2 linked regions of the Nothobranchius furzeri genome follow. The protein of the gene in region 1 binds, or shares a complex with, the protein of each later gene. Links are inferred from orthologs where the notes say so. Each region holds a gene or a part of one and is shown on either strand. Other genes may lie near its edges. The genes, in order: camlg and get1.

What was found.
Region 2: camlg (region 1) and get1 share a complex: the UniProt entries of both Homo sapiens proteins name them as parts of the golgi to ER traffic (GET) complex. The link is inferred for Nothobranchius furzeri from reciprocal best matches to the Homo sapiens genes CAMLG and GET1.

Annotation. Positions count from the first base shown.
Region 1 is NC_091750.1:60,367,715-60,372,256, forward strand, and holds the start of camlg (guided entry of tail-anchored proteins factor CAMLG), read left to right. Parts: upstream 1-1,502; 5' UTR 1,503-2,045; coding exon 2,046-2,199; intron 2,200-4,199; coding exon 4,200-4,542. UniProt on the Homo sapiens protein: Required for the post-translational delivery of tail-anchored (TA) proteins to the endoplasmic reticulum.
Region 2 is NC_091753.1:27,510,014-27,514,621, forward strand, and holds the start of get1 (guided entry of tail-anchored proteins factor 1), read left to right. Parts: upstream 1-1,649; 5' UTR 1,650-1,664; coding exon 1,665-1,684; intron 1,685-2,061; coding exon of another isoform or gene 2,062-2,076; exon of another isoform or gene 2,077-2,282; intron 2,283-4,608. Other genes in the region: hmgn1a (non-histone chromosomal protein HMG-14A), read right to left, coding at 304-372, 458-574, 654-692, 788-817, 1,104-1,133, 2,062-2,076. UniProt on the Homo sapiens protein: Required for the post-translational delivery of tail-anchored (TA) proteins to the endoplasmic reticulum (ER).

The sequences.
Region 1 (4,542 bases):
ACATGACAAAGACTTTTCTACTCGGTTGAAGAAGCGTGTTGGAGGAAACAAACAGAACTTTTGCGATGAAGGTTGTTTTGTCTGTGATTGATTTGAATCAGTGTTTATTCTCATAGAACAATTCTGTCAGACTAGCTATTGTTCAGGTGAAAGAACAGGTAAAATGGATGTTTTTGTTCAAAAAACACGTCTAACCTAAACCAGGTCAAACTTCTGCATGTTTGCGAGTGCAAGACTTGGTTTATGAGGACAGTTGGCGCTCAAAGACTTCTTTTTTGAGTGGGCTGTCACCTGGAGATATTTTTTGTACACACCTGGGCTCCAATGCTGATAAAATCCCAGAAGTATGTTTTTTTTTCTTTTTAGTTATAAAGTCGTTATAATGTTTGTTGAGCAAATGCGTAGACTCCTGATGTGGAAAGCAGATGGACCTTGCCGTCTTTGCTGCCTGGAATGTGTAGACTTGGCAGTGAAAGGTTGTCTCATTGGTCTGTCCTCCCGTTGGTCTGTCATCTTTTCTCTCTCTCTCTCTGATGACATCACTTTTCTGTGTTTTTTTCCTCTTGTTTAATTTATGAGACTCCCAAACTGATTAAATGCTATAATTGCCTTCTATGGGAACTCACTTTTTATTAATAATCCTCTGTTTAAATACTGAAATATTTTAATATAATAGGATATGGGAAATTCTTTAACACAGTCATAACAAAGCCATTTTGATCTTGTATCCATGCTTATTGATATTTGTATATTGAAAGACACTGCATTATATAAAGGAGAAGAAATGCTAATTTTAGTGTAAACAGATTGAAATTATGCTAAGAAAATAAACTGTTTGGGACTTTTTAAATGTAGTTTGTGTTTTGGTTGGTGAACCATGTTTATTCTGTGAAGATGGATTCATTTTGGACCAATTAATCAATGTTCATAAGAGTTTGAATTAAGGTTTTCAGTTTGGGCTGATTTCATTCAGTTTGTAATCTATGTATCATAGAAGAAGAATGTATTTAGAAACGGAATTGTTTTGGTCTTTATGCACAAAGTTGTTTTTCATAAAAATGAAAATAAAGCTAGCTTTGTTTTTTTTTTTTTTTGTAGATTAAGTTTTCAACATGACATGGATTATAGTGAATGAAAGCTGAAGGCTTCTGAAGAAACCTTAAATTCAACATTAATGACAAAATTATAAAGTAATTATATAAATATAGGAATAAAAGATTCAACCATTTACCATGCATGACAATCAGAAAATATCTTTAAAAAATGTAGCCAGACATGTTCATAAAGATTTGTGCATTATTTTGGTCCCTGTGATATCACTAAAATATATTTAAATGGATAAAAGGAAAACATTCTTATCGAGGGATCACTGAAAATCACATGAAACTCAGGGGTTTGAGCAGTAATCCGAAGGTTGCAGGTTCAATTCCGACTCCGGACAGAGAATTCTTCTATTGATTTCTTGGGCAAGACATTTAACACGCCATACCTGTGCTGATGGTGATCCTTGGGACCGGTGGCACCAGTCCTCGGAAGTCTTGCCACTTTCAGTGTGCCCCAGGGTAGTTGAGGCTACACTATAGCTCATCACGACGTGTGTGTGTAAGAGAGAGAGAATGGATGAATTATACACTAGTGAAGAGCTTTGGAGTCATCTGAGCATGAAAGGTGCCATGCAAGTGCGGGACATTTATTTGAAACATTAACGGTTTCAGTGGAAATGTATAGGACTTATTAAAAACAAATTTTCAGCAAATATACAGTAGTTTAACAGATTGCTACTTAAATATAAAATGACATGTGTTTTTTTTTCCACCTGCAAGGCGGTGTTCAGGGATGAAAATCCCAATAAACCATCTCGTCATTCTTTGCGCAGAATTGTTACGTCATCGGCGTGCGACCTCTTTTCGGTCCATTCTGTTATGTTTACCGTCTGATTCAGCTCGTGTAGACTTTTGTTTCGCCGTTAACGAGCAGTTGACTCGCCAGTTTCGTGTTCTGTAGTTTCACATTGGAGTCGGAGTTAATTTGAGTCATTTATCAACATGGAGGCCAGCGAGGAGAAGACAGAGAAACCCAGCTCCGGCGTGTCTGCGGCGCAGCGGAGAGCTGAGCTTCGAAGAAGAAAACTGCTCATGAATTCAGAGGACAGGATGAACAGAATCGTGGGTTTCGCTAAAAACGACTCTGACAACAGCGGTAATATAGTCATCGTTCGTTTAGGCTAGCACTACTGGACATATATGTCCCTGTGTGAAACATGTAACCGAGCACTGGTTTATTTAGTTTGGAGGTAAAATGGATGACACTGAAATCAATCAAAAATAGTCTTGATTTTAAATGTGTTGATTCAAGACAAAAGGTGCCTTTGCTACTTTTGAAGCTAAAATTTTCTCAAAAATGTATTATGTATATTTCATAAAGGTACTGATTCTCACCACTCAGTAGTCTCGCCCTGACTGGTGAATTAGTTAATTCTATTAAGACACAAATTCATCATCACACTCCGCACATGTCTGGCTGATCATTCTGACCCATCATCTTATTCTTGTGTTTAACAGTTTTCAAATGATCCTTTAATACAATAGAAGACAACGTTATTGTCCCCATTAGTAAATCACGAATATGTTTACACACACACACACACACACACACACACACACACACAGCTTGAATAATCCAACACAGGCCTTATTTATCTAGAAAACAAATCAAGTACGATGCAAACCCTGAAAAATTCAGTACATCAAGCCGTCTTCTAACACAATTCAAGGACAAAATAATCCAGACCAACATCAAAGGCACCACAGGTAAAGGTCAGTGGCAATGATTCAACTTTTAGAAAGAGATGGGGCAAAAATATGCATACGATTTTCAAAAAAATAACGACAGCTGACCAAAGGGCTGCACAGGAATGAGGCAATAAAAAAGGTAAAGTGCGATGCAAAGGTAAAAACAGAGCAATAAGCACCATTAGAAAAAGTCATAGACAAAGTAAAATATATAAAAACACAGTAAAAAAAATAGCATTTGTTGGGTGGTTCCAAGGATCTGGATAACTTGCAGTAATAAAATGAACTATGAATTCTGCTCTGACCTGTAATCTCAATCCATTCATGCAGTAAAACCCTCCAATGTGGCATAATTAAATCAATTCTGCAATCAATAGTGGGATAAAATCCTTTTCACAGTGATGTGAGATACTCATTAGCAGTTATGATTATTGGTCGGAGGGACCGGTGGCGCCTGTGCTCGGCAGCCTCGCCTCTGTCAGTGAGCCCCAGGGCAGCTGTGGCTACATCGTAGCTCATCACCATCACTGTGTGAAAGTGTGTGTGAATGGATGAATGATACACTGTAGTGTAAAGCGCTTTGGAGTCCTTACTCTGAGAGGCGCTATACAAGTGCGGATCATTTATCATTTATCATTATGGCAAATGCTTTCTGCCAACAGCAGCCATTTAGGTTTGCGTATGCGTATCCCTTTTCACTTAAGATGAAACCGTAATCATTACTATTTAACTATTTTGTATTTATTCAGGATATCTTTGCTCCAAAACTGAAATTGAAATTTTTGAAGAAAAATAAATGTATAAACATACTAAATCTGTAAGGGAATCATTTTTCAAAGCACTGTAAATAACTGATCATTATATGATTGATTGGGCTGAATTAACACCTCAGCAATGATTTATAAATGATCAGGTGTTGCATCTTTTGCCTTTTTAGTGGTAAATGTTTGACCCTGGTCATACATTCTTCTTATAAGTCAGTTTCTTAAATTAGATTTTGTGCGTATGTTGAGTCCATAACGTTTATTAGTGACATGTGTCCAGACATCACCAATTGATTTGTAAGTGTTGCAACAGTAACAGCATAGGCGTCAGCAGCACAGATGTTGATGCTGTGCCTTCCTGTCATCTTTAATCAGACACAACGTCTAAATGCAAACTGCCAGGAAGCATTTTCTTGGGCTGTTCTTGATGTTTTATGAGCTCTGACATCACTCTGAATGTGATGCCAACAAATGTTTCATCATGGAAGTGACACAGGACCTGTTTAGAAAGTCTGATCCCACTCAGAGGGATTTGTGAGAATTAAGTTAGAACCAAATCTGTAAACAACAATAACATTATTTGTATCCATTTATCTGTGTGCTTGATTCATTTCTAGTTCATAAACGCTGATCTTCTCTGCAGGATCCTCCCGACGACCCACAGAACCCCGCTTTCACCTTGATCTGGACAGGACACAGCCGTGGTCTTCGTCCTCCCCTTCCCCGAGACCGCCTCCCTTCCTGCCAGAGGCTTCGATTCATGGCAGCCGCTCCCACTCTTCCACCCCAGAGAGACGAGGCTCACCCCTGCCAGACAGCAGCGAGTTGCCCGGAGCATCTCTGGAAGACGAAATGGGAGGTCTCAGGCAGCGAGCAAAGCTGGAGCGAGGAGATGATCTCAGTGGCTCCCCACGTCGGAGCCTCCAACAGTATTTATCACGCTTTGACGATGCTATGAAACTCCGGAGTCAGCTGGCCAACGATAA
Region 2 (4,608 bases), on another chromosome or scaffold:
CACGGCTGAAATCATAGCTGAACTCTGATTCTTCTCAAGTAAAAGAAAACAACCAAACACATCCACTTCCTGTGAAAGTAGAGCGAACCCCCAACAGTCCCGGTGAAGACAAAATCCTCAAAGACAAGGTGTGAAAAGAACAAAAACACAATTATGGAAACTCTCCCTTTACAAAAGCTTTATACTTTTAATTGATATTGTCATAAAAAATTAAAAAGCAATCTCACCCCTAAAAACAATGCGTCTTTAGAAAATAGTAGCTAAAATACTCTCTGCATTTTACAACAAAAAGAGGTAAGCCAGCTATTCTGCTGCTTTCGCCTCCTCCTCAGCGGTGTCCTCCTTGTCGTCAGCTTCATCTACTCCTGCAGCCTGTGGGAAGACGAAGGAAACACCACTGGTTTGTTTTCTCCACCAGAGAGCAATGCTGACCAGAGAAGAGCCAAACCCATCATACCTCCTCATCTTTAGTTTCTCCGTTTTCTGCAGGACTTTCTTTCTCTGGCTGTGCTTCCTCCTTCTTCTCCTCTGCTTTGGCCTTTACCTCCTTCACCTTCTTGGTCTTCGGAGGTGCCTACAATGAACATCAAACCGCAGCATGAACTGGACAATCTAACCACACCGTAACTTGCTGCACCGACACGACCTTTCACCTTTTTCTTTTCTGGCTCTGGTTTTGTTGGCGTCTCTTTCTGCAGAACACAAAATACAAATAAAATAATAGAGATGCGTTGTAATACCAAATTAAACACATATTCATGAAGTAGTCCAGGTCTGTGAAGCTTACCTCTGACAACCGTTGGGATTTTCGCCTTGGCTGAAGGAAACACAAAGAATTTGGAATTAAACAAATGTACAGCTTCTAGTTAAACAAACATGATACCGTTTTGTCGAGCGGTTGTGAAAATTGCATTTGTTTTGCAAGTTAGGAAAATTAAAACAAGGGTACAACTCAAGTTATTCCATGCACTTAAAAAAATTCTTTACATCATTTAAAAATAAAAATCTGTGTTGGAAGTCTGCAAGATGTACAACTTTGTCCTCCCCTCTAGGTGAGGATGATCAAAATTATGTTGTGTATGTACACTTTGTGATTTACTTACCTCTGTACCTGCATCTGCATCAGAGGTTGCCTGCAAAAATCAGGAAGAAAAAAAATTAACAAGGCTTGAACAACAACCACTCATAAGTGTGCTAAAGTGGGTGTGTGATGCAAAGAGGGGGATGGGTGACTTCCCCTCCCATTTAGTCACTGAAATATTATGTAATCTGTAGGACTCCTGGCCAGGGAGTGTTTCTGATGGCCTAAAAGACTTAATCTGGACCCTAGAGATTGATGAAAGTACATCAAAACAGCACATATGTGTTTATTCATAAAAAAACTACAGCAAGCCCATAAACCAAAGCACGCTCAACATCAATTCGATGATGAAAGTTGCATTTTGCCAATAAACCTTAAACCTGAAGGCGCAGCCTACATGGTTTATGTCTAAAACAACCAGATGTGTCGCTGTGTTCTGCAAACGCGAAGATCAACACGCAAATACATGCGTGACGTGCACCATCAAACCGGTGTTTTAAAAGCTCCACAACGCGGTGTTTGAGGATATCAAACACTTTCTAAATTCTACAGTCAGGAAGAGCTCCAATCACCTGCGGCGTTCATGGGCGAAATTCCTGGGAGGTAAAACCCGTTCCTAATGCTGGTTACACCCCTTTAGTTTAATATCACAGCACGCATTTAGGACAATTAATGAACTTCAACACGTAGACGGTGTAAAAACAAGGAAGGTGAAGTAAAAACACACGATGCGACATGTTGGAATGCTGGCCTGCGCGGAGTAAAAAAGGCGCCACTTCACTTCCCTGCATCAACACGTCAACCCTGAACGCACCATGGACTCATTCCATACACACACGTCCGCATTCAAACTAACACGTTCTCCACAAATAAACAGCGACAAATACAGATAATTACAACACAAAAATGCCTGTAACTGCATGTTACAAACTCTTTATATTACACATACTTATTTACACATTACACACGTTTTAACTTACCTTTTTCCTTCCCATTGTGATCTAGTTTATGCGGCGGAGCCAATAGGGAAAACTGCTGATAATTTTAGCAAATCTATAGAAGAAAAGGACCAGCCGAGCCGCACACCAGAGCCTGTTACAGAGGAGTGTGTATGTGTAACATGACTTTAGGTCCAGCCAGTACCAGAACTAGCTCAAACCGGATTGGACACCTCTATTTGGTATAATTCATCCCTTTATCCTACCAACCCACCAGGAAGTGTGAAGCTCCGCCCATAGCTTTCTGTGATTGGCTTTGAGGTCACGGCAGCATAATTTTGAAAAATAACATCTTACCTGTGTGGGCAGGACGAGATGTCAATCAGTCAAATCTCAACGTTCAACTATGGAACGTTCGTGCAGAAAGGGTGTGTTGATCAGGAATTTGGCCGGATTGTGGAGTCATTTTTTTTTCATATAACAGAGGGGTCTGCAATCTGCGGCTCCAGGGCCACATGTGACTCTTTTGTTCCCTCTGCTGTGGCTTTGGCATATCTGATGAAAAATGACTTGCAAATACTTATTTATATTTACATAACTACAGGAAAACCATAGTATAAAGGGTATTCTTTGCTGTTTATTCTTCCTGTTGTGTGCAACCACATCAAAGCTATGTTGTTGGAGGTGCAAACACACGGGTCAAAAGATGTGAACCACATGTGATGTCAACAAGCTACATATCTAGCTTTATTGGTGGAATTTGGGAAGACCTTAATTCTTTGGCTATTAAGATTAACTGTCACAAATGTTCTCTGAATATTTCTTCAGTTTATTAAGAAAGTCAGTTTATTGCCTTCTGTCTAATGATGTTTGGAGATGGACAACAGCCACCGGTGACACCCAGTGAGGATGAAGCTGTTTGGATAACTGATGGACAGATGGAAGGGTGGATGGATGGATGGATGGATGGATGAACACACACACACACACACACACACACACACACACACACACACACACACACACACACACACACACACACACACACACTTCTTTATGTCTAGTTGATCAAATGTTTCTCTTAATAACGACTCATCTGTTTGGTTTGTGCCACATATAGCATCAGATTTCATCCTGTGTTGACCAATTTAATCAAAGCTGTGAAGACTGGAACTATAAATCTCACTAATCATAATTTGTTTTTAATCTTAATTAAAGCTAGATATGTAGATTGTTGACATCACGTGTGGTTCACATCTTTTGACCCGTGTGTTTGCACCTCCAACAACATAGCTTTGATGTGGTTGCACACAACAGGAAGAATAAACAGCAAAGAATACCCTTTATACTGTGGTTTTCCTGTAGTTATATAAGACTCCGCCAAGGCTGCACTTTGTCACTGATTCTGTTCATTACCTTTATGGACAGGATTTCTAGGTGCAGCCAAGGTGTTGAGAGCATCCGTCTTGGTGGCCTGAGGATCAGGTCTCTGCTTTTTGCAGATGATGTGGTCCTGTTGGCTTCATCAGAACGTGATCTTCAGCTTTCGCTGGAGCGATTCACAGCCAAGCGTGAAGCAGCTGGGGTGAGAATCAGCTTCTCTAAATCTGAGACCATGGTCTTGATTCGGAAAAGGGTAGAATGCCTTCTCCTTGCTCAGGGATGAGGTCCTGCCCCAAGTGGAGGAGTTTAAGTATCTCGGGGTCTTGTTCACGAGTGAGGGAAAGCTGGAGCGCAAGATTGATAGGTGGATTGGTGCTGCATCTGCTGTGATGCGGGCGTTATACCGGTCTGTCATGGTGAAGAGAGAGCTGAGGCAGAAGGCGAAGCTTTACCGGTCGATCTACGTTCCTACCCTCACCTATGGTTACAAGCTTTGGGTATTAACCGAAAGAACGAGATTGCAGATACAAGCGACTGAAATTAGTTTTCTCAGCAGACTGGCTGGGCTCTCCCTTAGAGTTAGGGTGAGAAGCTCAGTCATCTGGGAGGGGCTCGGAGTAGATTCGCTGCTCCTCCACATCAAGAGGAGCCAGTTGAGGTGGCTCGGGCATCTGGTCAGGATGCCTCCTGGACGCCTCCCTGGTGATGTTTTCTGGGCACGTCCAACTGGGAGGAGGCCTAAAGGGAGACCCAGGACACGCTGGAGGGACTTTGTCTCTCAGCTGGCCAGGGAACACCTTGGGATTCCCCCGGAAGAGCTGGCCCAAGTGGCTGGGGAGAGGAAAATCTGGGCCTCTCGACTTAAGCTGCTGCCCCCGCGACCCGACTCCAGATAAGCGGAAGAAAATGGAAGACTGGATGGATCTTAATTAAGAAAAAACTTATTGACATAAATAGTATAAATAACACACAAATAGTAATGGGCTAATTTTGATTATGTGCTACAATGGCCTTACCTAAGGTCAAAAGGACTTGTGGAATTTTATCATTTAAAATCCTTCAATGTCTGATCTGAAAAATAATAAAGGAAAATGGGAAAAATGTAGTTGCCCTTTTAGAAAAAACATTTCAACGTCTTTTTATAATAAACGATTTGTTTATTATTATTATTATTATTATTATTATTATTATTATTATTATTATTAT